Diceros bicornis minor: one gene and its partners. The protein of the gene in region 3 purifies or fractionates together with the protein of the main gene of each other region. This does not show direct contact. Links are inferred from orthologs where the notes say so. Each region holds a gene or a part of one and is shown on either strand. Other genes may lie near its edges.

The links.
Region 1: the proteins of AP1B1 (region 3) and AP1S1 fractionate together in Homo sapiens (co-fractionation; 6 studies listed by BioGRID and IntAct, with this or other methods). This does not show direct contact. The link is inferred for Diceros bicornis minor from reciprocal best matches to the Homo sapiens genes AP1B1 and AP1S1.
Region 2: the proteins of AP1B1 (region 3) and AP1M2 purify together in Homo sapiens (affinity purification with mass spectrometry; 3 studies listed by BioGRID and IntAct, counting the BioPlex papers as one, with this or other methods). This does not show direct contact. The link is inferred for Diceros bicornis minor from reciprocal best matches to the Homo sapiens genes AP1B1 and AP1M2.
Region 4: the proteins of AP1B1 (region 3) and AP1G2 fractionate together in Homo sapiens (co-fractionation; 3 studies listed by BioGRID and IntAct, with this or other methods). This does not show direct contact. The link is inferred for Diceros bicornis minor from reciprocal best matches to the Homo sapiens genes AP1B1 and AP1G2.

Annotation. Positions count from the first base shown.
Region 1 is NC_080765.1:4,793,654-4,800,605, forward strand, and holds the start of AP1S1 (AP-1 complex subunit sigma-1A), read right to left. Parts: upstream 3,012-6,952; 5' UTR 2,914-3,011; coding exon 2,911-2,913; intron 2,455-2,910; exon of another isoform or gene 2,397-2,454; intron 1,100-2,396; coding exon 921-1,099; intron 309-920; coding exon 200-308; intron 1-199. UniProt on the Homo sapiens protein: Subunit of clathrin-associated adaptor protein complex 1 that plays a role in protein sorting in the late-Golgi/trans-Golgi network (TGN) and/or endosomes.
Region 2 is NC_080769.1:8,687,653-8,695,302, reverse strand, and holds the start of AP1M2 (AP-1 complex subunit mu-2), read right to left. Parts: upstream 3,011-7,650; 5' UTR 2,957-3,010; coding exon 2,915-2,956; intron 1,909-2,914; coding exon 1,752-1,908; intron 1,553-1,751; coding exon 1,485-1,552; intron 1-1,484. UniProt on the Homo sapiens protein: Subunit of clathrin-associated adaptor protein complex 1 that plays a role in protein sorting in the trans-Golgi network (TGN) and endosomes.
Region 3 is NC_080774.1:23,055,634-23,063,527, forward strand, and holds the start of AP1B1 (AP-1 complex subunit beta-1), read right to left. Parts: upstream 3,011-7,894; 5' UTR 2,898-3,010; intron 1-2,897. UniProt on the Homo sapiens protein: Subunit of clathrin-associated adaptor protein complex 1 that plays a role in protein sorting in the late-Golgi/trans-Golgi network (TGN) and/or endosomes.
Region 4 is NC_080744.1:24,297,342-24,305,321, reverse strand, and holds the start of AP1G2 (AP-1 complex subunit gamma-like 2), read right to left. Parts: upstream 3,013-7,980; 5' UTR 2,908-3,012; intron 2,649-2,907; exon of another isoform or gene 2,627-2,648; intron 2,487-2,626; 5' UTR 2,486-2,486; coding exon 2,282-2,485; intron 1,871-2,281; coding exon 1,746-1,870; intron 1,605-1,745; coding exon 1,463-1,604; intron 1,343-1,462; coding exon 1,246-1,342; intron 1,076-1,245; coding exon 999-1,075; intron 881-998; coding exon 785-880; intron 373-784; coding exon 292-372; intron 1-291. Other genes in the region: JPH4 (junctophilin-4), read right to left, coding at 4,837-4,920, 5,832-6,364, 6,710-6,828.

The DNA of each region.
Region 1 (6,952 bases), on a different chromosome or scaffold from region 3:
GTCCCCACCCTTCTCCCCTGGGCTGATTGAGGGGCATGGCTAGCAGGCTTAAGGCTTACAGAGGGAGATTAATTACTGCTCTCGCTGCTCCAACTTCACCTCTCCCGAGTCTTCCCGGGCAGAGACTGGAAGAGCCCCAGAGTTCGGAAGAAAGAGGGGATCGCTAGCTATGGAAATTGCGGCGAGTGGGGGGACTTACGCTGCCGAAGTATTTGTCCAGGAGCTCCACATATCGGTGGATCAGCTCCAGCGTGATGAGCTCATTGTCTTGGCCCTCGATGGCGCAGCAGAAGTAGAGGCTGGCATATCTGAGGACAGGGGCACATGAGGGACAGCTGGGAGGGCTGCTGGGCCTGCTTCAGGACCCGGGCCTTCTGGGCTCAAATCTCCCATTTCTCCTCATTCCCAACTCAGGGCCTGCGCCCTACTGGACACAGGTGAGGTGGCCCCAGGGCATGCAAATAGTAACTCACTCTGCCTCTCAGGGCCTCTCACAAGCACAGGCAAAGACACAGCTCCTTCCCTCTTGCCCTCTGACCTGTTCAGTTTGATTCAGCAAAAAACCTGAGCCAACTAATCCACCTGCTCAGAGAAGGAAATAGAAAGGGGGTGTGTGTGTGTTGGGAAAAGTGGCACAGGATCTTGAAGCAAGGGACATGTGCAATGGACAAGATAGGGCCTTTGGGACAGAGGTATGTGTATGAAGTAGGTGTCAGGCTTGAGCAAAACCAGGTGGGAACAAGAGTTTCTTCAAGGCGAGTTTGGAAAGTACAGGAAGCTGGAGTTCACCGCCCTCCAGATGTCCTTAGCTCCCAGCTCTCCCTGACCCAAGGGACCACTTATTACTCAGCCATCTGAACCCACTGCCAGACCCCAATCAAGCAGGATCCAGGCAGGTCTGAAAGTAGGTGGGGAGTCACCTCTTATAGACAACTTTGAGGTCCCTCCACTCCAGGAAGCTGCACATCTTGGGCTTGCGAGCCAGAACAACCTGCATAAGCTCCCGAACCATCTTCTTTCGCTCCTTGTCTGATGTGGCCAGGTACCATTTTTGCAGCCGCAGCTTCCCCTGCCGGCTGAACAGCAGCATGAATCGCATCTGGGGGTGGGGAGGCAGAGCTGAGGGTCAGAGGTTTGGTTCTCTGAGTTTGTTTCCTCCATAAACACACAACCCCAAACTTATCCCATCTAACTCTTCTCTACTTGAAGCTCCTACTTTCTTCAAAAATCAGCTCTTGCTGTCGACTCTGAGTATTCCCACCAACAGGTGCCTTTCCTTCTGGGGGGTGTCGGAGCTTCTCAGTCTGTCATTTGGGTTTAAATCCTGGCTCTACTAGTTGAGTAATTTGCCTTGGGCAATTACTTTATGTCTCTGTTTCCCGGTCTGTAAGACCGAGATAATAAAAGTACCTACCTTACAAAGTTGTTAGGAGGGATTAGAGTTGACATATACAACAGTGCCTGGCACATGGCAAGCACTGTAACACATTAGGTATCATTGTTATTATTCGCTGACGCTGCCTTCCAAAGCTAAGTAAAATGCTTCGCATCAGCCCACAGCTGACGTCAGAGCCGTCTGCTTTCTTGCATGCTCCTTCTATATACTATGCTGAAATCGAATATTTTGTGCCTCAAGAAGCTACCTCAATCCTCCACCCATTCCAGCCATACACCCTTGCTGATGTCCCTAACACGGTGCCCTCCAATGCGAGTCCTATGCCCAGGTGTACCCTTCACCTTAGCACGTGGTATTGGGACCCCCAAATTTCACCCTCCTCTCTCCTCAGCCATCCAGGCATTTGGCCACTGATATTTTTCTCTTTTCTTCCTTTTAGGGTGCCTCCTGGTAGGCCCACACTCCCTCTCAGATACCAGAGAACCAATTTCCCTTTCAATTCCTCAGAAAGGACACAGCGATCCAGGGTGGCTCCCCTAGGGAATGTTTGTGGAACAAAGTGCAAGCTGGGTAGAGTGGGGAGGAGGGCAGAGCCCTCACTACCCCGTGCACCCCCAGCTTCCCGGTGCCAGGGGGTCCAGGACTCATCCTGGAGTTATCTCCTTCTCCCTGCAGCTCTCCTCTCCATGGACATGACCAGGGCTGGAATCCCTGGGTGTGTGGAACAGTACTAATCTAGTAAAGATCAGAATTCATGGGTTTTTTGGTGGTGTGGAAGAGGAAGCGCTCCTAGCGTGGTGGGAGAGCAACAGAGGGGCACAAGGGAGCCGTGCGTGTCTAAGATGGGGGCGGGGGGTGGGAAGCGAGCAGGAAGACGGAAGGCCTGGGTTCCGGAAAGAGAATGGGATGGGGGACGGAGAGCTAAGAGCACGGAGCCGGGGACCCAAAGCCCGGGTCCCCGAGAGCAAGACCTCGAGCCCACTTGGCTTTCCCTCCTCACCCCAGCCTCTAGGCGAGCAGGGCGATAACGCGAGGCGGGACGTCCACTCCTCGGACCCGAAAACTATCCCCTCCCACACACCGCTCTCTCCGCAGGCCGCCGCTCCTCTCCGGGCTGCAGGGGGGCAGAGGGTCTTGACGACCCCCGACCCCGCTGCCTCCCTCCGCCAACAGGCCCCCGCGCCCCTATTCCTCTGGCGACTTCCCTGCGGCAGTGGTCGGGACCCCTTGGATCTCATCCCGCGCGCTCCCCCCGGCTCGGGATGGTCCTGCCGCCCCTAATCCCACCTTTCCGCCCCACAAATGCGCCCCCTCCCGCCCCTTCCCCTCAAAGCCATTTCCAGCTGCTCTTCCCTCCGAGGCCGGCTGGCCCACCCGCCCAGGTAAGAGAGGGCCTCTGCGGACCGGAGGAAGAGAGAGCGGCTCCCACCGAGGGCGGCCCCCAAGGACCCTCGCAGGTGCAGCCCACGCCCCTCGCTTCCCCCTCCCCTCCCCTCGCTCTTCGCACAGCCTACCATCCTGCAGCCTCCGGCTCGGCGCGTCCCTCTTCGGCCACCGTAGGCGCCAGCTCCACTCCCTTTCTTATCCTTTCTCCGGCTTCCCTCCCTCTCGCTTGAAGCCCCGCCCCGGCTCCGAGGCCCTTCGCGTTGCGTACTACGCAGGCGCCAAGGCTGCGCGGCGCGCGGGCGGGGCTGGAGGCGGAGAAGCGGAAGCCTTGGCAACCAGGTCCTTGACTTCAGCTTTGAGAAGCTCTGTCGTTATGGTAACAAGGCTGCCTTGAGGGCTGGTTGGAGGATGGGGGGAGGAAGACAATGAGGTCCTCGAGCTTTGGAACCTTGGGGGAAAAAGGCGGGAAAAGGGGTGAGAGATGGATGGGACGACCGACGAAGTTTGTGAGGAGCAGAGAGGACTAACGGAAGGGGTGTGGGCAATTGAGAGCTAGCTGAGTGGGAATCGGATGTAGGGGAGGAGGAATGATGAGAAAGACCAAGACAAAGGAGGGGGGCAGATATGAGAAAAGTATGGAGCTCAAAATAGATATCTACTGAGAACCTGCTAGATGCAACACTCTTAAAGGAAGAGAAATGCGTAGGAAATGAGGGAGATGAGAAATAAAAGAGAAAAGGAGGGGCTGATATAAAAGTGATGTAAGGAAGAGGAGGAGAAGCGTGAATTAAAGCAAAAGGGGAAGAAATAAAGAAAATCTTAGAAGGTTGCATGGGTCAAAACTAAAAAGGGACAGATGTAACCCAGACACAAGTGTAAAGATGAGGAGGATGTAAATCATAATACGAGATTTTTGGCTAAGGATGTGCGTGTGTGAGTCTGTACGTCCGTGTGTGTGTCCATGTAGTAAAATGAAGGGGTTTGCATATAAGGATGAGAAAATCTTAAATTTTGTCATGCTGAAAACGTAATGGCTATTTCTAGATAATTGTTGGTAACTAATGATGCTATTGTTTTTGAGTCTCAGTTGAAGCAATTGCTGGTAAGGCCTTACCTGTCTCTAGCTGCTCTAGTTGCAAGAGGGTGGGTCTAATTCACCTGGGATGCAATCTGGTCTCTCACCCTTACTTGATGTTTAGCCTCAGGTGGGTCATTTAACCCTCCATTTCCTCATTTTAAAAATGAGAGTAGCAATACCGACGTTGCAAGGTTGTTCTGAGGGTGTATAGAAAATACCTGGCATGCTGTAAACACTTGACAATAGTAGCGGTTATCATTATTTCCGTTTCCCAACTTCTCTCCTCTACTACTTTCTCTTCTTACTTTTTTTTCCTTTGGTGAGGAAGATTGGCCCTGAGCCAACATCTATGCCGATCTTCCTCTATTTTGTATGTGGGACGCCACCACAGCATGGCATGACAAGCAGTGCATAGGTCCGCTGGGGATCCGAACCCGAGAACCCTGGGCCACCGAAGCAGAGCATGCGAACTTAACCACTACGCCACCAGGCCGGCCCCTTGGTGTTATTTTTAAGGTCAAGAATAATATCAATAAAACAAGTTGTTAGAGTTAGAAAGCGTAAATCATTACAGAGTGAAAAGAAGGAATGGAAGTGTGTAAGAAGGACGAAGACAAAACAAATGAAAAGCAATGTGCTCCTGGGGAGAGGAGAAGGTTGTAAATAAGGAAGTAATAAGCGATGAGGTAAATATGTAAAGCAGAGAGCTAGGCAACAGCCCAAGAGAGTTTGGAAGCTCAAGATGTAAATTGCTACACTCCTTGGAAAGCTGACACTTTCTAGAATTCCTTATCTCAATGTGGTATGCCTAGCTGCAGAAAAGATAAGATTCATGAGAGAATTGTTAGAAATCTGGGTTTTGTTCATGTAGAATCATAGATTTCAAGTGGTTTAAACTAGTTAGAAGACGGTGGACTGGATTTCTTCATTGTTAGTGAGCGACGAATTTAGAGAATCTCTGAGTTAGTGGACCCAACGTGGCTTGTGTCTGCAGATGAGTTCAGATTTGATGAAGTGGGCAGTTGGGGGTTGTTATGGTCATCTGAGCTGGGGAATAACTTGATGAAAACAGTTTTAAGAAAATTAATCTCATAGTAATATGAGGGACAATTCGAAAGGACAGATGGAAAACCGGAAGATCATTTAGGAGGCAGTTGTGGGAATCCGGGAACAAAGAGGAAATGGAGAGGGACAAATTGGAGAGATACCTGTAATGGACCAATCCGCAGAAGTGGATATCTCATCTAAGTGGAGAAGAAGAAAGAAGATCAAAGATGAGCCTGGAGGGTTAGTGGCGCCATATGTATAAATGGAAAAATGGAAGAGGCGAGATTCTCCTTCATAGGTGCAGATGGTGTTTGTATTGTCGCCGTACAAACCGTGCTGACACGTCGCCGAGCTTTCCCTCTTCTGGTGGTAGAGTTGGTTCCTGTGGTGGTTGGAGGGGTGGCCCAGATGGCCTTGAGCATTTCATCTATATGAGCATATGGTCTGTATTTCTCCCTCTTGTGATGTTCTCTGCAGCCACTTTTTGCACATTCTTTAGGTAGTCCGTAGTTCCTTGATGATCTTGTTTCAGTCATCTCTGTGTTTTTTTTTTTTTTTTGACTTCTTTTTTTCACTGAGCAATTAGGACCGTATCATATGCTGTTCCTAACAGTCCTGACAATTAGAATACTTTCCGTGGTAGATATTTGCCATTATTTTTCACTTCCCAGGCTCCAACCCCCCTTCCTAGGGCTTGGAAATCCCCACCTTACTAGTCTAGGGGTAGACAGAACAGCCTCCAGTGTAGCATTTGAAATTTCCAGATGTTCACTTCCGCCGCTGCCTTTGTGCCCGGGGCATGGGCATGTCTGCTAGACTCAGCCAAAAGGTGCACCGGCCCAGACTTTGATCCAGGAGGGAATGAGGTGGTGAAGGGGTGATGGAGGGTATGTAAGACTCTGGCAGAGGGTCAGAGGATCAAAACCTAGGGCACCAGTGGAGTGGCACCAATTCCAGTGTCCTGTGCCCAGTGAGAGGGTAGGGCAGGGGCACCAATGTGATTTGGGTCATGGTCTCTACTGTGAGACCTCCCTCTGGTTCCCTGGTCCTCCTGGCAACTCCCTGAGCTCCCCAGTTTCCTTTTGTGCTTCGGTTAGCCAGAGTTGGTTTCTGTTCCTGGTAACTAAGAACTCTGACTGGTAAAGTTGGTTATCATTGCCATATTGTCCATTGACCGCACATCTCAGTCAGGCTCGTCTCTCCAGCTAGAATGTAAGCTCCTCGTAGGACAGTGTCTTATTCATCTTTTGTTTCTCCACAGCACCCAGCGCTGTGCTGGTTGATTGGCTTGAGTTATGATCGGTATACATGGTTATCAACTTTAGGTATTTTAATCTTACTTCTCATCTAAAATATGCTCAATTCTAATTTTGTATACAATAGTACATTTTTAGTTCTATTATTCCTGCTAGAGGATAAACTGTCTTCTTTTGCTGTTTCTACCGTGTCTAGCACAGTGCCTGACACGTAGAGATGACCAAAATTGGTTGAATAAATGTGTACTAGATCCCCCATTTGAAGATTCCATTGTCATCTCAAACTTCACTTGCCAAAAATGAGTTACTTCCTTCCTCCCTCCCCTGAAACCATGCCATCTCATTGTGGTCAATGTCACGGCCTTTGCCTAGGCTTGTAGACTCTCAGCCTGAGACGTGAAGGATGACGTAAAAGCATAGCTTATTCAGGGACATAGGTCAGACCTGCCTGACTAGACCAGGAGAAGGCTGCATGGAGGGAGCAGTCTGAAAACCAACCTGGCGACTTGGGACTTCTTCCTCAGATGTGCCCCTTGAACCTGCCTTGCTATTATTTTTCCTCTGTGATTTTGTTCACACTATTTTCTGGAATGCTCTGCCATTCCCTCCCCACGGACCCAAATCCATCTTATTCATCCTTTAAATTTCAATCAAGCAGCTGCACCTGATGAGGCTCCACGTTCTAGACTATAGTCGTCATTTCTACCATGTTCCTTTCAATCATTTTGCGGTGACTCGCATAACGTTTCAGCTTTTTGATGTCTCTTCTGCTTAGGGACTTGATAGTAA
Region 2 (7,650 bases), on a different chromosome or scaffold from region 3:
GAGGCAACTATTGAGCGCCTACTGTATGCCTGTGCCGGACATTAATGGTGAACAAAACCAACAGCGTCCCTGCCCTGGAGGAGGGACTGGAAGGGCACAGAACTGTGTTTTGTGGACCGTGGGTTCCTGTGCATCTGTGATGTTTCTGGACCCGCCTCGGAATAAGGTTTGTGAAGGCATGAAATAAAATACAGGGGATGGCAAAGGAAATCTGTTATCTAGAAATGCATCTAAGATCATGGACTCCCTGAATTCTATCCTCAGGCCCTTGGGAGTTTGGGGACCTCGAGTTAAGAGCCCCTGGGAATTAGCAGGCATAACCACAGCAGAGAACCTGTCGGTCATCCAACATCTGAAACACTCTCCATCCCTCATTCTGCTCCAGCCTCACTGGCCTGCTTTCTATTCCTACCCCAGGGCCTTTGCATATGCTGTCCCCTCTGCCTGGGACACTCTGCTCACAGGATCCTTGGAATTCAGGCCTCAGCTCAAATGTCACCCCTCAATGAGGCCACCACCATCCCCCCAACCCCCATAAGTATCACCATGAGACCAGCATCCCAGCCACTGGAAAATGTCCTGTTTAATCTCCATCATGCCCTTTCACTCCTCAGGACAGCCAGGGACAGTCCCCTATGCATTGCTGTGTCCCCCCTTTGCCTGGCAGAGAGGAGACAAATCAATAAATATTTCTTGTTCGTTGAAAAGTCATTACTGAAGGGCCTGCCCAGTGGCACAATGGTTAAGTGCGTGCGCTCCGCTTTGGTGGCCCGAGCGTTTGCAGGTTCAGATCCCAGGTGCGCACTGACGCACTGCTTGGCAGGCCATGCTGTGGCGGCGTCCCACATAAAGTGGAGGCAGATGGGCACAGATGTTAGCTCAGGACCAGTCTTCCTCAGCAAAAAGAGGAGGATTGGCATGGATGTTAGCTCAAGGTGGATCTTCCTCACCAAAAAAAAAAAAGAAAAGTCATTACTGAGCACTTTCTCCGTCATCGATAATGGCATACAAGTGCTCGATAAATTGTCATGAGACAGTATAACATTGGTGATAATGCTGACAATAGGAAGCCTTTATGGAGCACTTAGTGTATACTGAGCATGTTTTAGGCACTTTATGGATATGAATTTGATTAATTGGTATAACAACCCCGAGGCAGGACTTGTTGTAACTCCCAGTTTTGAGGCACAGAGAGGGGAAGTGGCTTGCTCAAGGTCACACAGCCAGGCAGCAGGGGAGCTGGGATCGGAACCCGGTTCCCTCGGGCTCAGATTTGAGCAGTATAGCCCCTTGGAGACCTCCTTGGTCCCTGCCCTGTAGGGAGAGATGATCCGGTGGCAGCTGATGAGAACACAGTGATGGGGTTTTGATGGGGGCCCCCCAGGGCGGCCCGGGGAAGCTTCCCGGGAGAAACGGATCCTGAAAGAGGCGGGCAAGACGAGTGGACAGACAGATCAGCCGGCCAATGGGAGGCCGGGACCTACCTCCACCGTCTTGTACAGGAAGGAGTACACGAGGGAGGCGTTGGCGTTCTTCAGCGTGGTGGCCACCACTGCGGGCAGCGACGTTAAGGAACAGGTGCCATTTTGGAGGGCTCGGAGGGAGCACAGACCCCGAATCCCCACCCTGCCCCCCTCCAATCCCCAGCCTGAGCCACTGATGTGCTGTGCAACTCCTATCCTCAGCCCACCCTCTCTGGGCCTGAGCTGCCACCACCCAGGCCCCCAGGGCCCCTGCGCGCGGCCGGATACAGTAGAGGTTGCTGTGTTTGATCCACAGGAAGTGGACGCGGCCGTGGCTCAACAGCGGGGCCAGGGCGCCCTCCTCCTCCCGCTGCATGAGCAGGGGCATGAAGTGCTCGATCTCACTCATGGCCACATCGCCCTTGTAGTTGCGGCTGATCAGGGGCTACGGGTGGGCGGAGAAGGCCCGGTCACCACCGGGATCCGGGGACCCTCCACCTGAGGGCCCTCCGCCAGGCTCCGGCTCTTTGGGCCTCAGTTTCCTCCTCTGTAAAATGGGTACGTGATAACAACAGCTAACGTGTCCAGAGCCCTCCCTGAGGTCTAGGCCGTGTTCTACTGAAGTCTGGATGTTTGCTGACTGTCTTAGTTCTCACCACCACCCTGTGAGGCAGATAGTATTAACATCTCCATTTTACAGATGGGGAAACTGAGGCACGAACCGTGTCCATGATAATTGGGGAAACTGGAAATTGAATAAACGAAGGAAGGAAGGGAGGGAGGAAAGATTATAGAAAGAGAAACGAAAGATTATACCCATATATCTCTTTTAGCTCCTATAGTTTCGCCTGGCAGGCTGTAAGCAGTCAATAATAATAGTACCCACCTGATGATATTGTTTAGTCCAGTGTTTAGAACCTAGAAGACATGCAGCAGGTCCGCAGACACCTTAGCTGTCACCATTATTATTATCAGGAATATTATTTTCACCACCCCTGTTATTATTGCTATTGAATGACCAGATGAATGAGAGAGGGTTCCAGAAACGGACGGGGCAGCCCCAAAGGGGAATTAGGGTCCCCTGCCCCTCTATCTTCCCGCAATATTAAGACTTTGGATGGTGACGATGGTAAACATAATTTCAGTTGAATAAACGCCAAATGTTTGCAGCAGGGCTACGGTGGAAAGTGACTGACACGAATCGGGTGGTATTAATTCTTTTTGAGTGGGGACCCTTGTATTCCCCTGTTTACGGAGAGGGAGACTGAGGCTCAGAGAGGTAAACAGTGGAGGTGGGATTGGACCCGGGACTCCCAGGGATTGGGGGAGGGGATGTCCCCACGTGCCCAGGGCTTTCTGGGGCCTCCCCGCCTGCGAGGAGGGGCCGCTCCTGAGTCCGCGGGGGCGCAGCCTCACCTGTCCGTCCCCCCTCCCCTCGCGCCCAGCCTCACCTTGCCCTTGACGTCGAGGATGAAGACAGCCGAGGCGGACATGGTGGCGGCCGGCGGACCTGGGAGGCGGAGAGGGAGCGCCGGTTGGAGACGGCGGCGCTGCTTCCTTCTTCCTGCGGAAGCGCCCGCGCGCAGGTGTGCGCCCAGGTGCGCGCGTCTTAAAGGGGAGGCCGCCAGGTGAGCGGCGCTGTCGGCCGACGAGAAGACGCTGCGGGGGCTGCGAGGGGCGGAGCTTCGGATGCGACAGCTGCTCCGCCTCACTTTCCTTTTGCGCCCAGGAGTGCTGGTGGACGGAGACTCCAGACCAATCACCAATCCATCCATCCATCCATCCATCCATTATCTATCCATCCATCCATCGTCTCTCTCTCCATCCATCCATCATCCATCCATCCTCTATCCATCCATCCATCCACCCATCCGTCATCTCTCCCCCATCCATCCATCATCCCTCCCTCCCTCCATCCATCATACATCCATCATCTATCCATCCATCCATCCACCCATCCATCATCTATCCATCCATCCATCCATCCATCATCCATCCATCATCTATCCATCCATCTATCCACCCATCCATCATCTATCCATCCATCCATCCATCCACCCATCCATCATCTATCCATCCATCCATCCATCCATCATCTATCCATCATCTATCCATCCATCCATCCACCCATCCATCATCTATCCATCCATCCATCCACCCATCCATCATCCATCACCCATCCATCCATCCATCCATCCATCCATCCATCCATCCATCCATCCGTCATCCCTCATCTATCCATCCATCATCTATCTCTCCATCCATCCATCATCCATCCATCCATCCATTCATCTTGTTTCTCCTCTGTCTCTCCCACATGCACGTCCGCCCCAATAGGACAGGGTTTGTCCTGATCATGTCTATGTCCCCAGTGCCCACCACTGGGCACTCAATAATATTTGTCCAAGTCATTCATTCATTCATACAATAAATACTTACTGATTAATTTATTCTTTCACTCAAATACTCTCTAGTAAATTCTTTCACTCAGGAATTGTGGGTAGCATTCTGAGAAGAACCAATGTACCTGCTTTTTTTTTTTTTTGCTGAGGAAGATTCACTCTGAGCTAACATCTGTGCCAATCTTCCTCTATTTTTTAGTATGTGGGCCACCAGCACAGCACGGCTGCTAATAGAACGGTGTAGGTCCATGCCCAGGAACTGAACCCGGGCCGCCAAAGTGGAGCATGCCACCAGGGCTGGCCCCAGTGTAACTGCTTGTATCATTATTCCCAATGTTACTCTTATTCATTCCCTCCAAAAACATTTATAAGCTTCTATAACGTGACACTGAGATGTTGAGCAACTGTTGAAAAGATAAATGGTCATTATGATTATGACTATAATCATCATAATATTATTCACTCAACCAACATTTATGGAGCACCTACTGTGTGCTGAAGGGGACATGTGAAAGCTGCTTTCATTGTGGTGCTGATGACAATTGATACTGTTGGTGATGGACCATTCAGTGAGTGAATATTTGTTGAGCATCCTCTGTGGCGCTGTGGATGGCGACATAGGCAAAGCCACTCCACTGTTCTCGTTCTAGGGAGGGCGGGAGACACACAGCATAAGAACCCCAAAACAAGATGATCCCAGATGAGGATGGGAACACTGCAGGCAGCTGAACCGGCGACAGTGGGCTGGGGGTGTGTGCTGGAGAATGAATGGGGGGCTGTGATGCATGGAACTCAGAGACGAGGCCGACATTTGAAAAATTTCCACCACGACCTTATGAGCGGGACAATCCAAGAGAAGGAGTCTCTGCAGAGCCTGGCACAAAGCTGGTACTGATACTGTTTTTGCTGCTGTTGTTTAGATGTGTGCAGTTGAGCGTGCAGGCTCTAGAGCCAGCTGTCTGGGCTCAAGTCCTGGGTTTGCAACCCACGAGCTGCGCCGCCTTGGGGACCTGGCCTCCCCTCCCTGGACGTCGGTTTGCACATCTGTTAAACACGGTTAATTTCCGTACTTTCCTAATTAATTACAGCGCAGATGGCATGAGTTACTACACACAACGTGGTGCTCAGAGCAGTGCGTGGGGTGCGGCCGACCCTCCTGTTATTATTATTTGTTATTGTTATTATTTACTGTGTGGTGGTTAAGAACACAGGTGCAGGGGCCAGCCCGGTGGCACAGCAGTTAAGTTCACACGTTCCCCTTCAGTGGCCTGGGGTTCCCCGGTTAGGATCCTGGGCACGGACCTATTCATGGCTCATCAAGCCACGCTGAGGCGGCGTCCCATATAGAAGAGCTACAAATCTACAACTATGATACACAGCTATGTACTGGGTCTTTGGGGAGAAAAAAGGAAAAAAAAAAAAAGAGGAAGATTGGCAACAGATGTTAGCTCAGGGCCAATCTTCCTCAGAAAAAGAAAAAAGAACACAGGTGCTGCTGAATTAGCAACAAAATTCCTAAAGCTAGGAAAAGTTAAGGCAGGGAACCAAATCAAATGGGGGAAAAAAAAAAAACCCAAACCGAAAAACAAAACCATATTAAATCTTTGTTCTTGAAGATAAAATGCATTTTTCTCATTTTGGCTTGTGGCTGCGAGAAAAAATTCTGGGTTTCTGCCTTGTAACTATGTTTCCCTTACCAACGGGGACAAAGGAGTTTAATTTAGAAAATAAAACCTCCTAATGGAAATAGACCAGGACACTGCAAACGTTTCCTTCCGTAAACTCCTTGTTTAAAATACAAATTGTTTACATTGGAAATGCATGTGACATGAGAAACTTCGATTTGTTTCTTTTTAATTTTAAATAAAAATAGAGGCCGGCCCCGTGGCTTAGAGGTTAAGTGTGCGCGCTCCGCTGCTGGCGGCCCGGGTTCGGATCCCGGGCGTGCACCGACGCACCGCTTCTCCGGCCATGCTGAAGCCGCGTCCCACATACAGCAACTAGAAGGATGTGCAGCTATGACATACAACTATCTACTGGGGCTTTGGGGGAAACATAAATAAATAAAATTAAAAAAAAATAAATAGATAAATAAATAAATAAAAATAGAGGAAACTAACAAAAAAGAAATACACACAGTATTCCAAAGACTTGGTACAAAAAAAATCTCAGGAATAATTTTAATATTGATTACATGTTGAAATGATAAAAATTTGGGGTTAAATTAAATATATTATTAAAATTGGGGGGAAAAAGAACACAGGTGCTAGGTTTGAGTTCTGACTCCACCGTGGGCTGTGAGGCATTGGGCATTGCCTCAGTTTCCCCTTCTGTTAAAATGGGTGTAACAGTCGTGGTGTCACCTCCTTGAGCTGCACTCTCTGAGTTTGGGCGTAAATCCATGCCTGGCACAGGGTCTCAGCTCCCTGCCCCTCAGCTACTGGGGACACCAGGTTCCACCCCACAACTGTCTGCCATCTTAGAGGCAGGGAATTTTTGGGAAGGGAAATTAAGGAAGAGAAGGGAAATTCCATCTCAGCCTGGCTGGGACGCATCCTGCTCCACAGAGCGAGGGAGGAGTCTCCAGGGGGAGTCACTCAGCCCTCGTGGGCCTCATCCCTCATCCCTCATCCCTCATCCCTCATCCCTCATCCCTCATCCCCTCTCCCCTCCTTCCCCAAACCCAGCCCCAGCCCTTTACCAGCCCCTGGGAGTGGGCTGGGCGTCCCCACAGGGGACTCAAGGGAGGGAGGTGAAAAGATAGCAACTGACAGAACCGCCACTCAGCAACTGACAGAACCGCCACTCGCCTCTGCACCATATCTAACACCCACAGGAACAGGACGACAGCGGCAGTGGCCTCTCCTCGAGCACTTATCTTCCCACCTTCTTTGTGTCTTTTTTTTTCCCCCAAGTTTGTTATTTTTTGCTGTATTTGATTCTGGTCTTCCCAGTTATGGTTTTCCTGCTAATTCAGGTCCTAAGGGGAAGACCTTCATGTCTTCTTATGTTGGCAAAAGCCGAGGCACAGAGAGGTGAAGCCACTTGCCTGAGGACACACAGCAGGGAGGCAGTGGAGTCAGAATTTGACTCAGCCCACTGCCAACTGGTCTGCTCATTGCCGGATACCAGTATGACTGTTACTAACACATAGTTCACGCTTATGTGTGCTCGCTATACCCAGGCGCTGCCCCAACCGTCTCCCAGGTGGCAATCCTCCTCAAAACAACTCTTTGAGTTAAGGAAGCCTATATCTCCATTTGACAGATGGGAAAACTGAGGCTCAGAGGGCAAGTGACTTGTACAAGCCACCCAGGCCTCAGGGGCAGAGTTAGAATTCCACCCCTGCAAGGTGCAAGGTTTTACATTGCCTCTGCCCAAAAGAGGGGTGTCCTCCACCATCCTGCCAGCCCCTTGCTCAGCAGGTGACCCAGGGGGATTGAGGGCGCTGCCAGGCCCTCGCCCCAGGCCAGGCCCTGTTGAACCTCCAAAGGGTCCTTCTTCTGGGACCCTGGGATGTTTTCAGACAGTAAATAGAACCCCAAAGCCTGGACCCAGCACCATGGAATCTGAAACTAAGGCCTGTTTGGCTGAAAAATTCATGAGCTCAAAAGCTTCAGTGGGGTCAGAGAACAGAGCAGCTCTGTGTGCCCAGCTGCCCCGCCTCAGCTGCCACCTCCCCCGTCCCCAGGGGCTGTGGCCTGCCCCAGTTCCTCTTAGATGACAGCATGGCCCAGCCTCCCCTCCAGGACCCTGCCTGTAGGCACTCCCTTCCATCCCTTCTC
Region 3 (7,894 bases):
GATAACCCATTATGATCAGTGCCACAGGACATCAAGGAGGGGCATCTAGCTCAGGCCTGCAAGGTGGAGGGGATGATCGGATGGGAGGCACCAAGTAGTGGTCCAGCAAAGAAGTGTGGGGTGGGGTGTGTATGTGACATGAAATGGTGTTCAGGCAGTGAGAACAGCACAAAGCAAAGACACAGAGGCATAACGAGTTAGCACTTTGTAGAAAAGCAGCTGAGTTTGCTTGGAGCTTGGGAGGAGGTAGAAGTGTGGAGCAGGAGAGATAAGGCAGAAGAGCCAGGCAGGGGTCAGAGCCCAAAAGGCCTTGAATGCCATGCTAAGGAATGTGAGTTTTAGCTTGAGGGCAACGAGGAGCCACTGATGGATATTCAAGCAGAAGTTTTTTTTTAAGGATTCTCCAACTGCTCAAGTGGTATTTTCTCTCTGGAGTTATCTGTTTCTCTCCGTGTGAAGAGAAAAAGAACACAAAAACCATTTCTGGGCTGTAATAATTTATAAGTAACCTATCTTAGACAAAAAGACTTGTGCAGAAAAAGAAACATCTTCAAGTTATAGATGTTCCCTCAGCTTTCAGGAATACACCAAAGTGCAAAACCCATACCCAAGCCATGTTTGCTCAGTGTCAGCACATCAGGCTTTGGTGCCAGGCATGCGGGTTTTCTGGGAAGTGAGCAGTCAAGATACGCAACAGTTTCAGAGGACGACTAGAAAAAGATGAAAGTCCAAGCCGAAAGCCAGCAGGACCAATGGACTGAACTTGTTCTGACAAACTTTTAGGAAGTGAAACGAGAAGGGTGGGAGAAGTCCTGTGTACACAAAGGTCTCTGTCTGCGGAAGGAAGTAACACCCCACAAACCAGGGTAGACAGCCTTCCTCAGACATAGACCCTCAGCAGGCATCAACTGCCTACGATCAAGGCTCCCACCGCAACATTAACAGGCTCTGCACAAACTTCCTCATCTAACCCCCACACGCACCAGTGTTGGGAGGAGAGGGGGAAGGTGGTGATCATTATTTTAGAGCTGAAGTAGAGGCCCAGTCTAAGCAAGTTGTCCGGGTCCCACTATCACGAAGCTGCTGAGCTGGGATCAGAACCCAGGGCTGAGCGAGGGGGAGAAAGGGAATCTTTTCCGTGTACCTCTGAGCTCTTCAGGTTGCTCAGGGAGAAGCCTCTGCTCAACCCACACTCAACAGATAATCTCTACACAACTTCTGAGGGATCTGATTCTTTGAAACTAGTGAAGCTGCTCTTCACGTCAGTTTTTAAGAGGTCGAGGAGCCTGGTGGGCTCAACTCAGGACAGGGAGCCAGATGCTCTGAGCTCTGCTCACGTTCCTACCATTTGTGACAAGTCGCTTCATCTCAAATCCTCCCTTGGAAGGATGGGGATAAGGTGACAATATTAAGGTTCTGTGAATTCAATGGAACTAGGAGAACAGATCATAGAGTTAAAAAAAAAAAAGGCACTACAGTAATATTTACATCACAGCTTTCTTCAGAAGCACGTGGAAACCTTCGCGAGTTCATTAAGGCTTACAACACCCAAGAGTGGGTAGGAAGGCAGCAGGTCTCCCTTGTGCTGCTCTCAGGGAAACTGAGGCAGAACTGGAGCTAGTGAATGTCTGCAAAGGAATAAGGCTCAGACTCACAGAACCTAGCCCTCCGGCCATCAAACCACCTCACCACCTCCCAGGCAAGATGTGCTTTCCCTAGCCAAGAAGCCATGGGGCCTGCACTTTTCTCAGAGAGACACAGACCCTTCCCTTGAGAACGTCCTTCAAGAACCTAGGGCTACAAGAGCCCCTAGAGGTCATGTGGTTCTTCTCTTCAATCCAAAAGGAATGCAGCTCAACTACTCTCAAGAGAGGTTCTAGATACTCTCAAATTAGCTTCATGGATAGCCTGCTTTGTGTCTCACAGTTCCCAATAGTCAGGAAAAACTTCCACGCTTGCCCTGAAATGTAATCACTTACACCAACAGCCTGCAGGATTGTTTCATCCTAAAGAAAGTGAGTCAAATGCCCCTTATGAAGACTAGACGAGAAGCAATAAGCCTACATCTTTACACAGATGCAAATACACATAATGGCTAAAGATATTAAATAGCCCCTTCATCCCAACCTTGCTCCAGCCTCTCTGCTGTCTCTGCACTTTGCTGGTCTCTGCAAGCAAGGGTAGAAACCCTGGTTCTTGTCTATACTACCTGATTGACCTTATACGTGTGATTTAACCTCCCTGTGCCTCAGTTTCCCCGTGGATAAAATGGGGATAACAACCGTAGCTACCTCACAAGGGCTGCTGTGAAGTTTAAACGTGGCACTGTACTAAAGCGCTTAGCACAGCGCCTGGTACACAGTAGGAGCTCAACACGCAGCAGCTGGCATTTTCGTCGGTGTTTTTAGCATTATTACAGGTGTCCCCAGCTAACTCGTCCGTGGGGCGCCAACGGACAGACCAAGCCCCAGCGTGCCGCGGAGCAGGCGGCGCAGGGCTGTTTCTTGCAGTTTTTTTTCCTTTTCGAACCGTGGCAGAGAGATAAGGCCGGAACGAAGAGGCCCCAGGGGATAAGTGTGAAGGGGAAAACCGGGACCGAAGAGGAGCTTCCCCTGCGGCCAGGGGCGGGCTCCGCGGGGCCTAAGTCTAGCCGTCTCTCCGGGAGGGCGCCCAGGTGGGGCTGCGGACCTGGGGCAGCTGGGCTGCGGGCAGCGGCCAAGCGGGTGCGAATGAATGAACCCGCAGTCCTTCAGCTTCGTCGGGGCCCGGGAAGCCTCTCTGGCCCCTCCAGCCCCACGTCCTCTCCGTGACCTCTGACCCCGCAACGCCCTCACCTCAGACCCCCGCCTCCCCGCCCCACTTCTCCTCCAGCCTCGTCGAACTCCCCGCCTCCTCACCCGCAGGTCCGCACGGCTCCCGGCGCCACGGCGCGGCGCGGCGCGGCTCGGCAGGAAAATGTCCGCGGCCTCCTCCCCCTGCTCTCCCGGTGCGCCCGTGCCGCCGGCCGCTCCAGCCCCGCGGCTGTCACCTGCCGGGCGGAAGTGAGCTGCCCGCGCGCGGGCACTTCCGGTGGACGCACGGCCTGGGGGCGGGGTCAAGGGTGCGACCCGGGCGGGGGTGGTGGTGCCCGCGGGGCGGGGCCGACCGGATTAACCCCTCCCCGGCCGCGGCGCTGCTCCGCCGCTGTCTCCCGCAGCGTGGTTAGGAAAATTAGCCTGCTCACCGCTAAGTAATTTCGCGTGATGGAGATGGAAAAGGTCGTGGAGACTCTGAGGTCCATCTCCCTTCTGTTATAGACGGGAAAACTGAGGCTCTGAGAGGGGCAGGATTTTGCTCAAGATCACTTACCGTATGAATGGAAGAGTCAAAACTCGAGGTGTAAATCTAGTCTAGCGCTCCCTGCCCTTCAGTGCAGCCCTTTGGGTATTCCACGTTAGAGGGGAAAACATCGCACTCTCCAAGAACTTCACAATATCCCATTTCTCCTTTTGCTGGGTCTGCCACGACTTCAAGTGCAATAGCCATCTCACTCCCGGCTCTGGTACTATTAACTTTCTTCTCCTTCTAGATAATTTTTGATCATCCCCTGTAAAACATTATTTCATTGCTACTCTTTAAAAATGTTTTACTAGGAAAATAATATTTGCATTGTAGAGGAATGGCAATATACTAGCAAGCAAAAAGAAGATAAAAAATCATCTGCAATCCCACCGCCCCGAGACAATCATTTTTAATATTTTGGTGAATATCCTTCAGGACTTGACATATCATTCAGTATTTTTAACTCACCAAGATGTTGGTAAAACTTTCCCAAAACAATAAATACATTTCTGTTTGGTGCTTTCCAATACCTGCATGGTATTCCACTGTATGGATGGTATCACTGTTCTCAAAAACAATCCCTACAGTTGTACACTTAAGTTGCTACCAATCTTATAATATTATAAAACTTATTAATAAATAAGCTTGCAAAGCCAAGTCTGTATGTCCTGTCTAATCTAGATATTATTGTTTTAATATTCAATGTAGTTTTTATATGTTTAACCAGACTCAAATCCTTTTTATAAAAGGTTTTATTTTTAAATCATTATAGACTTACAGGAAATTGCAAAAATAGTACATAGGGTGCCTTCACCCAGTTTCCTTCAGTAGTGACATTTTATATATTAGTAGTATAACATCAAAACCAGGAAATCGGCATTGGTATAATACCATTAACTAAATTTACAGACCTTATTCCATTTTTAAATCCTTTTCTGAAGTAGGCAGGAAACAAATAGAATGATTTTGTATGCATGTGTCATGTTCCACATGCTATGCACAGCTGTCTGGAGAAACCACCTTTCCCTAATGATCAATGTTGGCAAATGCCATCAGCCTCAGTGAAAAACAAGATTTCACTAGGAATGTAACATGGAAAGAGAAGGATTATCTAACAAAACAAACCAGCAAACCTAAAGGTACCAAGCTGGAGAGCTTATGTGAAAGTGGCAAGTTGGTGGTAAAAGCAGTCAGAGCTTTAAGAGTTCCAAGGAGACAGAAGTCACAGCGTCAATTTGCTCAAGAAGGATGTTCTGGGGAAGGTGGCATTTATGCTAGGCCTTGCCCAGTGAGGACAGAGTTGCAGAGGCTGAGATGGAAAGAAAGGGCAAACCAGAGAGATCAGTGCAGAGACAGGAAGGCAAGGGAGCCAGACGTCTGGGTCCTTCAGAAAGCATTTCCCAAGCCCCTGCTCTGAACCAGACCCTGGGCTGGGTGTTGGATAGTCACACAGGTGAGGCAAAGGCCCTGTCCTTGCTGAACCATCAGTTTGTCCGGGGAGGGTGACAGAGCAGCAGGCACAAATGTGGTTGGTGCTGTGATAGGGGAGGTATTGGGGACTATGGGAGTCCAGAGGAGGCACTGAAGCTCCCCCTGGGGTTGGAGGGAGAAGGGGAGGTGTGGACAAGTAGGGGGCATTTAATATGAAATTGCAGAACAGCAATGGATGTTTATGGAGCACCTGTAGTGTGCTAGGTGGTGCACAGGGGGTCTCATTTGCTCCTCACATCAGCCCCATTTTATTTGGGGAGTGGAGGGGAGCTGCAACTCCAAGAGCTGAAGTCAAACAATGTCCGAGTGGCAAAGCTGATGGTCTGGTCCCAGAGCCACAGCATACGTGCTCTCATAAGTCCCACTCATTCACCTAAAATATGTCTGTCCCTCTTACCTGAGCCAGCCATATTGGAGATACAACAGTGAACAAGATGTGGCACAACCTCTCCTTGGGAGAGGAACAATTAAAGGGGCAATTATAACACAGCCCAGAAGGACCAGGGGTGTGCAGGAGACTTGGGCACCAAACTCATCCTGGGAAAGTCAGGGATGGCTTCCTGGAGGAGGTGACATCCAGCAGGAACTGTGAAGGATGATATTACTACTACTAATAGTTACCATGAAGAGTCACTGTGCTAGGCTCTTCCCCATATTAACTCACTGAACTCTCTCAACAATTTGGGGTTCCATGACTGTCCCCAAGTAAAGATAAGAAAACTTAGGCCAGTGGGCAGAGCTGATTTTCCTCACTTCCCTGTAGGCCTTGGCCTCCTCTCTCACAGCTCAGCCTGGCAGAAGAGCTAAAAATATAATACTAATAAGAAGAGGCACAACTCAATGCCAAAGGCTGAATAATTACAGCTTGCAGAGGTGGGAGATGGAAGCAGGGAAGCGGGGCTTTCAGGGGGCTTCCCTCTCTAACCCCATCTCCAACCCAGCTGGCCACACTGCCTGAGTCACACTCACTGTCCAACACTGTCTAGAAAAGTCCCACCTGGGGCATGTGTGGCCTGCCTCAGACCTCTGAGCCCCTGGCCCAGGAGGAGCTCTTTGCTCCAGGATGGAGCAGAGCCAGTGATGGCCAAGCCCACTTGGAGAGAGAACAGACTTGTCCCAACAGATATACCATTACTAACAGTAACGTCACCTCCTGATTGGAGGAGGAAGTTTTTAAACTCTTCTCCAAGTCCTATTCATTTTCTACCCTGCCCTATTGAGCTGGCTGATGATGGACAGGCCTGTCCACCTCTTTGGGCCTCAGTTTCTCCTTCCTGAGAACTCTGCACCCAACATGTGCCAAGCACCATTGTATGCCCTTGACACCCATCACTTCATTTAACCCTCACTATTCCCAAGAGGTGGGCACTATGGAACTCCCACTTTACAGATGAGCACACTGAGGCCCTGAGAAGCTGAGGAACTTTTCCAACTTCAGGAGGCAACAATGGACCAAGCTGAGAGGCAAGGCCAGAGCTGAAGACTGCAGGGCCCATGCTTTCCCCCTCATCCCACCCTTACCTGCCTCATGACGTTTAATACAATCAGAGGGAGGTTGGGAGTTCTTGTGGTGTCAAGAAATGACCGGGGACCTGCTGACACACAGAATCTCAGAGCGTGTCTTTCCCACCCTCCATCCACACGGGTGCCTAATAAATACACGTTGAACAAATTGTATTTTTTTTCCATCTATGCCCACTAGAGGGCGCACTGGTGATATTAACTGCCCCTGACCTTTCGGTGTAAATGTTGCACAGGCAGCCGATAGCATGCCTTTCTCCGTCCCAACCTTCTTTCTAGATTCTTCTTCTTATCGCTATTACTCTACTTCAATTTATGTTTGCTTGCTGTTTTTGTTGTTTTTACCTTACAAACTTCTAAAAGTTGCCTCAGATCCTTTCCGGAAGGAGGCAGGAGTGATTTTGTCTGTAGCCTCACTGACACCACCAGCCCCACACCTGCTGAGGGTGGGCAGCTCCATATCCTTCCCGTTCGGGTGGAACCTGGCACAGACTCCAGGGCAGAGGGGCCTAGAGGCTGCCAGGGACCTCTCCTCTGCCTCCATTCTTTCCTGCTGCAAATGCTCTCATTACACCATCCCTGGTCTTCCAAGGAGCAAAATTCTGCTCACTCCCCTGTGGCCCCAGTGCTGCCATAGGCTGCCTCTTGAAGGGCTCTGCTCTCCCTTCTCAGGTTCCCCTGAGAGGGCTGAACCGCCCTCCACTGGTGCAATCAAAAAGGCCCAAGCTCTGAACCACACCCGGGTTCAAATCTTCAGCTGGACCCCACTTTCCAGCTGATTGGGCCTCCATGCAAAGTTGCTAAAGAGATTAAATTGTAGAATTTATGTACAGTGCCTGGCAACCTATAAACCCTCCTTCAATGGGAGCTTTAAAAATTATTTAAAGGCATAAATTGAGGCACAAAGAAAATGTCAATAAACTCCAATAGAGTAGAATTGGAGTTCATACATCAGTCTTTGATCACAATCTAAAAAGCTAGAAATCGGGGCCGATCCTGTGGCTTAGCGGTTAAGTGCGTGCTCTCTGATGCTGGCGGCCCGGGTTCGGATCCGGGGCGCACACCGACACACCGCTTCTCTGGCCACGCTGAGGCCGCGTCCCACATACGGCAACTAGAAGGCGGTGCAACTATGACATACAACTATCTACTGGGGCTTTGGGGGGAAAATAAATAAATAAACCTTAAAAAGCTAGAAATCAATAATAAAATCAGAAAATGGACCCTACACCTGGCAAATAAAACACTCTTTAAATTTAGTTATTTTAGTTATTTAACTATTAGTTAAATAGTTTAACTTTAGTTATTTAGTTTACCTTTTTAGTTTATCTAAATATTTAGTTCAACTATTTAGTTAGCAGTTTAACTTTAGGTATTTAACTCCTGAAACTTCTGGGTAAGGGAGTGAATTCAACATGTGTATGTAACTCCACACCTTTCTGAAATGCCACTAAAACAAAAGAAAGGGAATTTTAGAATTTTTTTTATTGAGGTCATAATAGTTAAAACATTGTGAAATTTCAGTTGTACATTATCATTTGTTAGTCACCATATAAATGTG
Region 4 (7,980 bases), on a different chromosome or scaffold from region 3:
GATGGGAGAGAAGATGCATCTACAGGGGGCTCTGTCCTCTCCTCAGGTCTTTGGAAGGTCTCCACCATGTCATCCCTCAACCATCTAACAAAGTTCCTGAGCCCCACTATGTGCAGGGGCTATTGCACTGAGAGAGACTGTGTCCCTGTCCTCACTGAGGTCACAGTCTAGAGGGAAATGGAGACGTGACTGTACTGCCACTCTGTGGTCGGTGGTCATGTGAGGGATGCCCAGGGCTGGTGGGATCATAGAGCAACACACCTAACCAGTGCCCGCTCCCCAGCCCCCAACCTGGGCTAGCAAGTCATTCATGGTCTCACTGCTCTCCTCGTGGTTCCGGCCCAGAATCCGAAGCAGACGAAGTATCCGGACCTAAAGTTGGGTTAAAGGTTGAAAAGTGGAGGGGTTCATAGGGTAAGGAGTCATGGGGCTGAGGAGAAAAATCCATTAAGGAGAGCATTGTGAGAGACCTGGCTGGTTCCCTAGAGGCTCCCTGCCCCTCCCTCCCCCCCAGGTCCCTTGGGCCCTGGGAGGGGATCAGAGGTGTGTGAGGCCAGGGGATTTGCGGACAAGCTTTTTTTTATTGTTACCAAACTGGATTTTCTAACTTTCAGGTGTCCCCCTCCCCGCAATGGTCCTGGGATGACCTGGGCAGACCTGTGCCTGCCACCCTTCTGCCTAAGGCACTGACTGAGCCAAAGTGTTCTCCGGGAGGTGACCACCGGCCATGGGTTTCCAGCTCAGCTCTCTGTTCCAGGGATACAGCAGGGAAGGGCCAGCCCACCTGCAGGAAGGGGTCGCTGACTCCAGATATGCTGTGTTCTGTGGAGTATCCCGTTGTCAGCAGAGTCCGGAGGATCTGCACCAGCTGGGGCACCACCTGGGGGGAGGGCACAGCCTCATCTGGGCATTCTTCCAAGTCCTCTCACCCTTCAGCCCCACTCCAACCCCACTGCTCCTCTCTTCCTGGCCCAGGGCCTGCCCCTTCTCCAGCCCACCTTTCGAAAGTGCTTGAGGGCTGCAGGGCTTCGTTCGCTGAGCTCCATGATCAGTGTGATGGTGCCCATTAGGATGCCTGGGTGAGGGTGGGGGAAGCGAATGGTGGGCCAGGGGAACAGGAGCGTCTACTGTGTGCGTGTGTGTGCACGTCCTAGCCTTCTCCTAGGAGCTGGTGTTCCCATCCCATTTTTCACTTCTGTCGGTAGCCAGAGCTGAGGCAGGGGATGGGGAGCCCGGTGGCCTTACCGTGGTGGCGTTCGCGAAGCAGTTGGGCACAGGGTGGGAGGAAGATGGTGGAGAGCTCAGGGACCTTCCGGATCATGTGCACTGCAGTCAGAACAGCCTGCAGAGGTCAGGGGGCTCAGAGAGGGTGGAGGTCTGCCAAGATGGACCCCCTACCTCTATCACATGGCAAACGGGACAGTTTCTGGAGGGGCAGGTGCCTAGAGTCCTGCCAGCTCACCTTCTTGCGCACATAGGGGCTGGGCTGCAGGAGCAGTTTCTCCACCTCAGTGGCCAGATCCCGGCACATCTCAGCAGAGCCCATGGTGCTCAGAGTGCACAGGGCCAGGCCTTGTACTGCCTGAGTCCCCTGGCTCAGGTCACTGCAGAGTTGGGAGGGCAGTCAGTCAAGGCTCTGGGAAATCCAGGCCTTCCCAGTACCTACAGCAGGCAGCCCCTTGGGATTTCCCAGTTCCCCCATCTCCCATCTCCCTGATTCCAAGTGCTTCCCAGAACCCTCTCACTTCTTGATGCTGTTGGTAATGAGCAGGTGGGCATCCTGCCTCTCATCCAGTAGAAGCATGGCCCCCAGGTAGCCCACCCTCTTGTCTGTGAATCTGGGAGAGGCGATCAGTTTCAGGCACTCCATCTATAGGGAAGGGGGCAGACCAGGAAGGGGCAGGACTGAAACCAGAGGCACTAACATCCCTTTCTATCCTCCTCCTTAATGCCAGATTAACTTGTGGGGGCACAATATCCCATCAACCTCCCTTCAACAGGAGGAGGGGCTTAGGAGATCGAGAGTCAGTGGGTAGTTTCCAGGCAATAGGAGTCGAGGATGATGGGAGAGGAGAGGAGGAGGTACCCTGAATGAGGCTGGCCAGAGAATGAAGGGTTCAGTCCAGCTGATGACCCACAGGGACTGTAATGGGGAAGGAGGTCTGCAGTGTATACTGTGAGGGTTCAGCAACTTTGTAAAATAAAAAAATCAGGGCACAGATACGTGAGGGGGTCTGAGACACTGCTCCACTAGCCTCCCTCATCAAACTCTGCCCAGTACCTGTCCAAAGTGGGCGGGGTAGCCCAACATGTGGACGTAGAGCAGTTTGGCCAGCTGGCGGTGCCTGTGCAGAGGGTCCCCATCGCGGAAGGAGGCCCGGATGTGGGCGCACTCCTTTTGGATCACCTCCCGCTCCTGGGCCTGGGTCTTGGCCCCACGAATCTCCTCGATTAGGTCTTGAAGCTTCAGCGAAGGCACCAACATCCTGGGGGTCAAAGCCCGGGAATGGAAAGGGCTTTAACCTTCTCTTGCTAGGGCTGCATGGCCTTTCTGCCCAGGGTCCCCTGGGCCAAGATCCTGAGGGCCCGGGTCCCACAGCTACCCTAAAACTGAGCCCACATTTACCTTTCTCCACGTGGGTGTCCGAACTCCACCCCCATCCCGAGGAGATCCCCATTACGCATGCGTGCCCCCCCCCAACCAGCCCGTCCCTACTGAGCACGCGCAGGAGCCCCGCCTATTTCCCACCCCCCTTCCGTCCTCCACCTGGTTTCCCATCCCTAGCTCAGCCATTTCTTTCCTTCCACGGCCCTGCGCGATTTCTCTTGCGGGACTCCTCCGCCGTTCACATCGCAGGCGGCCCCAGCTTCCCCACACCAGGATGCCATCCCTAACGCCAGCCTCACCTGGCTTCTGGCTCAACTCTGCTCCTCTGCCCCCAGCACTTCCTGGTACGGGGCCGGGCGGGGGTTGGTGCTTCGTCTGGTCCTTCCCTCTCCCCGCCCCCACCACGGGACCCCGCCCTTCCTGGGCCTCCCTGCTGAGACGTCTTGAATCCTCTGACCTCAGGCCTCTGGCTTTGGAGTTTAGGGGAAGCAGCTCTGATCCGCATAGGGGCGGCGAGACTGTCTATCAGGCCTGGGGTTTCCCCAAGAGGGCTCCTCGAACATTCTCAGCACCCGGAGAGCCTCAGAGAGCTTGGGTTTGAAGCCATCGCACCCCAAAGGAGATGACAATCCCCCCCTTTTTTGAAGTTTTTTATTAATATATTTTTTTTGTTAAATTTCTTTGTATTTTTTTTTCCTGCAAGACTTAGTGTTGGCGGCACTGTTGTAGTTTAACTTCAATCCCAAATTCCATGAAATAGAAATCAGAAGTAAAGGTTGAGAGGGGAGAAAGGAGAGATGCAGGCCAAGGAGTGAACAGAGTTTGACTAGAAAAAAAGAGGAGGATGTGTGTGGTGGGCATTCCCAGGCAAGGCCATTCCTTGAGGGAGGGGGTTGGCAGGCAGCTTGCCTCTGCCTCATGCAGGGGAGGGAGGAAAGATCCCCTGGGTACCCTACAGTCCCTCTTCCTTGGGCTTCCTGCCCCCAGGGGAAAAGCTAGTACCAGGGATCAGCCACAATCTCAAACAGGGCTCTCCACCCACCTCTCAACGGCTTTGAGGCCCACCTCTTCCCTGCCTAGAAAGTGTGTGAGATTGGTTTCCTTGATCCCCTCCTCCTGTTGTTTTCCCATTTCACAAGATTCTGATGGGGATGGGGGAAGGGACATAACCCACTTAGAGACTACTAAACTTGTCACAGCTTCTGCTGCCCTGTGAGTTCCTGTTATCTAGTCTGGTTCCGTTCCCCAGAACTGCCGCCCCCTCCACCACCGCCACGACTGCCAGAGTTGGGGAGTGGGGTCCTTGCTCAGGTGCCTCAAACCCTCTGCAGTAGAAATGTCTTCTTCAGGCCCCTTAGAAATTTAATCAAAGGCCACAAGTGAGTCCAGACCAAGCAAATAAACGTTTAGGGGGAGAGAGGAGGGTGCGAGAGGTCAATGGGTGGACTTGGCTGCACTGGACATTTGCTTTGCTTTACACATTGCTCTGGACATGGCATGCCACCCAAACCGGTTGGACGAGGGAGGGGCTGGCTGTTGAGGAGAGAAAGAGGGAGATGCTAGAGAGTCCTCCTACTTTTCATTTCCCTTATCTCCTTCAAGGAAGGATGAAGTTAGGCAAGAACCTAGCTCAACCCTTGGAGGTGAGACAGGATCCTCCCAGGTCAGAGATGGGGGCTGCACCTCCTCTGGCCTTTTCACTAGGCCTCAGAGGGACCTCAGGCCCCTTGGGTCCAGCTCCCACCACAGCTCGGCCAGTGCCTTGCCCAGTATACAGTACCCCCTTCTCCATTTTCTTCCTCCTTTCCACTTGGCTTCCAGGAGACTCCTCAGGACACCAAACCCCTACCCTCATCGAAGTTCAGGTCTAAAGAAAAGGCGGGGAGGTTGTGGGGCAATGGTCTGACTTAGATTTGTGTGTCTCAGAGAAGAGAGCAACTCTGAGGAGAAAAGCCCTTCATATGTAAACAATCTAGAGAGGGAGAAGGGGTGGGGTGGGGAAGGGAGTGAGGACGACAGACAGATCCACAGGAAATGAGAGAATCTGAAAGGAGAGAGGGGAAGAAAAAGCAAGAGATGAAAACAAAGGGGGACAGAAAAGAAAGGAAGGAAAGGGAGAAGAGAAAGAAAGATAGGAGAAGAAACAACCAGGAGGAGGAAGAGAGAAAAAGGCAGGTCCAAGGAGTGAAGAGGCAGCAACCAAAGCCAGGCTAGGCTGGGCAGGAGCCTCAGGTGAGGAGCTGGGAGAACAGGAACGCCAGGCTGAGGTCCAGGAGGGCCACGGCTCCCACCACCAGGGGGTTGGCAGCTCCCTAGAGAGAGGGGGAAATGCAGCCTCAGTCCCCGAGGACCAGGTCCAACGACAGGTCCCACCTTCCTGCCCTGGCTGAAGTGGCAAAGCTGAATGGTCACAGCCCCTCTCCTCAGTGCCAGGCGTGGGGGGATCTCCAACCTTTGTTTTGGATTGCAAAACACCCCTCTTCTCCCAGGCAGGGCCCCACCTTCCCTCTGGCTCCCTCAAGTCAGGAACAGCCCTTCCTCCCTCCACTCTCCACTCCTCTCCCACCAGCATGTCACGTGGCCCAGGCAGAAGGTGCCTGGCCTTAGTAGCAGACGTTGTTGGCAGCAGCAGCCGGTACTGCAGTAAAGCAGAGGGGGATGAGGGATGAGGATGTGGTTGCTAGGAAACAGGAGAAGACCTGAAGTCCAATCAGAGTAGAGGATTCTGGAGAATCTCCACCCCTCCTGGGTTTCTGCTGCCTTTCCTATTTCCCTTCTTCCCAGGAGAGGGAGGGAGAGTCAGGGTAGGGAGGGAACAAGCTTTTCCTTTTTTATTTCTGGGCACCAAAGAGAGAAAGTGTGGAGGTGGAGGTGGGGGTGGGGGTGGAGTAGGAAACTGGGAGTTGGAAATGATATGGAAGGAGAACAGGGAAAGATGTTCTGGCTCCACCGTTAATTATTAGTTTGTAGCTTTGGGCAAGTTACTTCAAATGCTCTGGGCCTCAGTTCCCCCATCTGTCAAATGAGGGCGTTGGACATGAAGGTCTCTTTTGAGGTGGGATATGGGCCAGGACTGGGCAGGCAGAGAGGAAGCTGAGCCCAGATCAAAGCCCCAGGGGATCAGACAGAGGCCTGGATGGAAGGAGAGGCAAGGCTTTGGGAAGAGGGGCCAGAAAGGAGCTGAGACTCTGAGGGCACAAAATGGGGATGGAGAGTGTCTCACCGGCTGGGCAGGCCTCTCGGTTGCGGCATGCTCCTCAAGCTCTTCCATCAGGCACCTGGCTTCAGGACCCCTTGAGGACGGGCCCCTCGGGACTGGTGTGGTCCCGGGCTCAGGCTCCAAGCCCCCTGGGGTCCTCAGCTGGGGCAAGGGCTCTTCATCTTCCCCCTCCTCCTCTCGAAGACTTCCAGAACTGTCGCTGCAGCCTCCGAGCAGTGGGGAACCGTCTCTGGGCCCTGGCCCCTGCATCCCAGCCTCATCCTCAGCCTCATAGCCAGCTAGTTCCTCTGCCTGCTCACCTGGGCCCCCCCACTCCTCAGGCCAAGCTTTGGGGCTGGAGAAGGGACCCTGGTCCCCCCCAGGAGGCAGTGGGCTCCGGCAGGCAGGGTGTCGCCAGGGTTGGCGGGAGGAGGCAGGACTGCTAGGCAGTTCAGGGGAGCCCTCTGAGGGGGTCAGTCCATTCTCGTACACCCCAGGGCTGTCCTCATCCAAGGGCTCTGTGTCGGAACCTTCTGAGTCCTGCCTGGGTCTGTGGCCTGGGGCAGGGATAGCTAAGAATCAGAGGGGCCTAACTGGCCTTGGGCTGCCAAAGCTACAGCTTTATCCCCTGTCTGGGCGCCTCCCAGGACTTCAGTGTCCCCAGGGTTACCGCCTCTCATTGCAAGACCGCAACCCCATAGTCGTTCTGGCCCTATTTCATAAATTCCCAGGTCCACTCTCCAAACAACCGGGCCTGGCCCCCACCCTCCGTCCCCTTGGACCCTCAATCCTTGGCTTTTCCATCCCAAGTGCCCTGCAGGGATTCCCTTCCCCTTTCCATGCCAGAGCCTCTCCAGCTCCCCAGGGGGCCCATCCCCCGCCCCAGGCTGCCCACGCCTCACCTGGGGCCTCTAACATGGGTTGCAGGTCCTGGGCTATCAGTTTGGCCATTCGAGCTGCCTCCACAGCCTTCTCGGCGACACTGCTGGCTGCCACTGCCTTTAGAAGGGCGTCTGCTGCCCTGTTGGGTTCCAGGGACAGGGACTTAGCAGACCAGCACCCCCTTCAGATTAGCCCTGCTCAGATGCTCCAGCCCCCTGGCCCAGGTCCCCACCACATCACATCCTCTGGATCTGAGCTCACCTCTGGAGTCCTCACCCTTGCTCACACTCTGCCAGCTGCTCTCCTTCCCGGCCGCCAGGGCAGCTGGCCTTTGGTTTCTTCTCCTAGAGCTGGGCTGGGCCTACTGTCATTACACCTCCCTGCTCCTCTCACACCCTTCCACCACTGCATCCTGTAGTAACACTTCCCTTCTTCCAGCTGCAGGGGCCAGGCCCTCCCCAGCTGCCCGCCACTGTCCTGTTCCTTTCCTGGTGACAAATGAGACCTCACTCTCTTAGCACATCCCTCTGCAGTCACACCTGCTTGGTGCTTACAAGCTATGCCTGCCCTCCCTCTTTGCTGTCGGCACCTCCTGTTGTTATCAACTCCTCTCACACTCCCTGGGGTCACACAGCTCTCTCTGGGGTCCAGGGCGTTTTCTTGGACCTCGATGCTGCCCTCCTGGCAGCTTTGCCCCACCCTGCCCCTTGTTCTGGGCTGCTCTCTCCCTGTGTTAGGAGCCTTTGCCTCCTTCCCCTTACTGCTGCTAGCCCTTCTTGTTATTTATCCCTGCCTCCTCCACTGCAGATTTCCCAACATGAGAATTTCACATCTTGCTTGTCTTCAGTCCTTCTGTTATCACATTGTTCTCCCCGTTTGGTCACTGCCACTGCCCCCTGCCCCCTGCCCTGCCCCCTCCTATCTGAGCTCTGAAACTGGAGTAAGGGTGGGTCCCCCCCTTTCTCCTATGATCTATTCCCTCTCCCTGCTAACATGCATGCTTTCTCAGCATGGCCATGAGACCTTCTGGGTAAGCTCTTAGTCTCCCTTCCACAGCCCCTCCCATCCTGCCCTGCTCTATAGGTAGAGGTTGCCTGGAAGCATTATCAATCCTTTCCCCACTGGGGTTTCCCAGTTCTCCCTCTGATGTCAGATGCTTCCTCAATTTTCCTTTCCCTTTCACCCTCTGTTGTTAATGTAGATGCCTTGTAATCATTCATTTAGGTCTGTAATCTTGACTGAAGGTGGGGCACAAGGAGAAGAGATAGAGGTAATCAGACATACTTGTCAT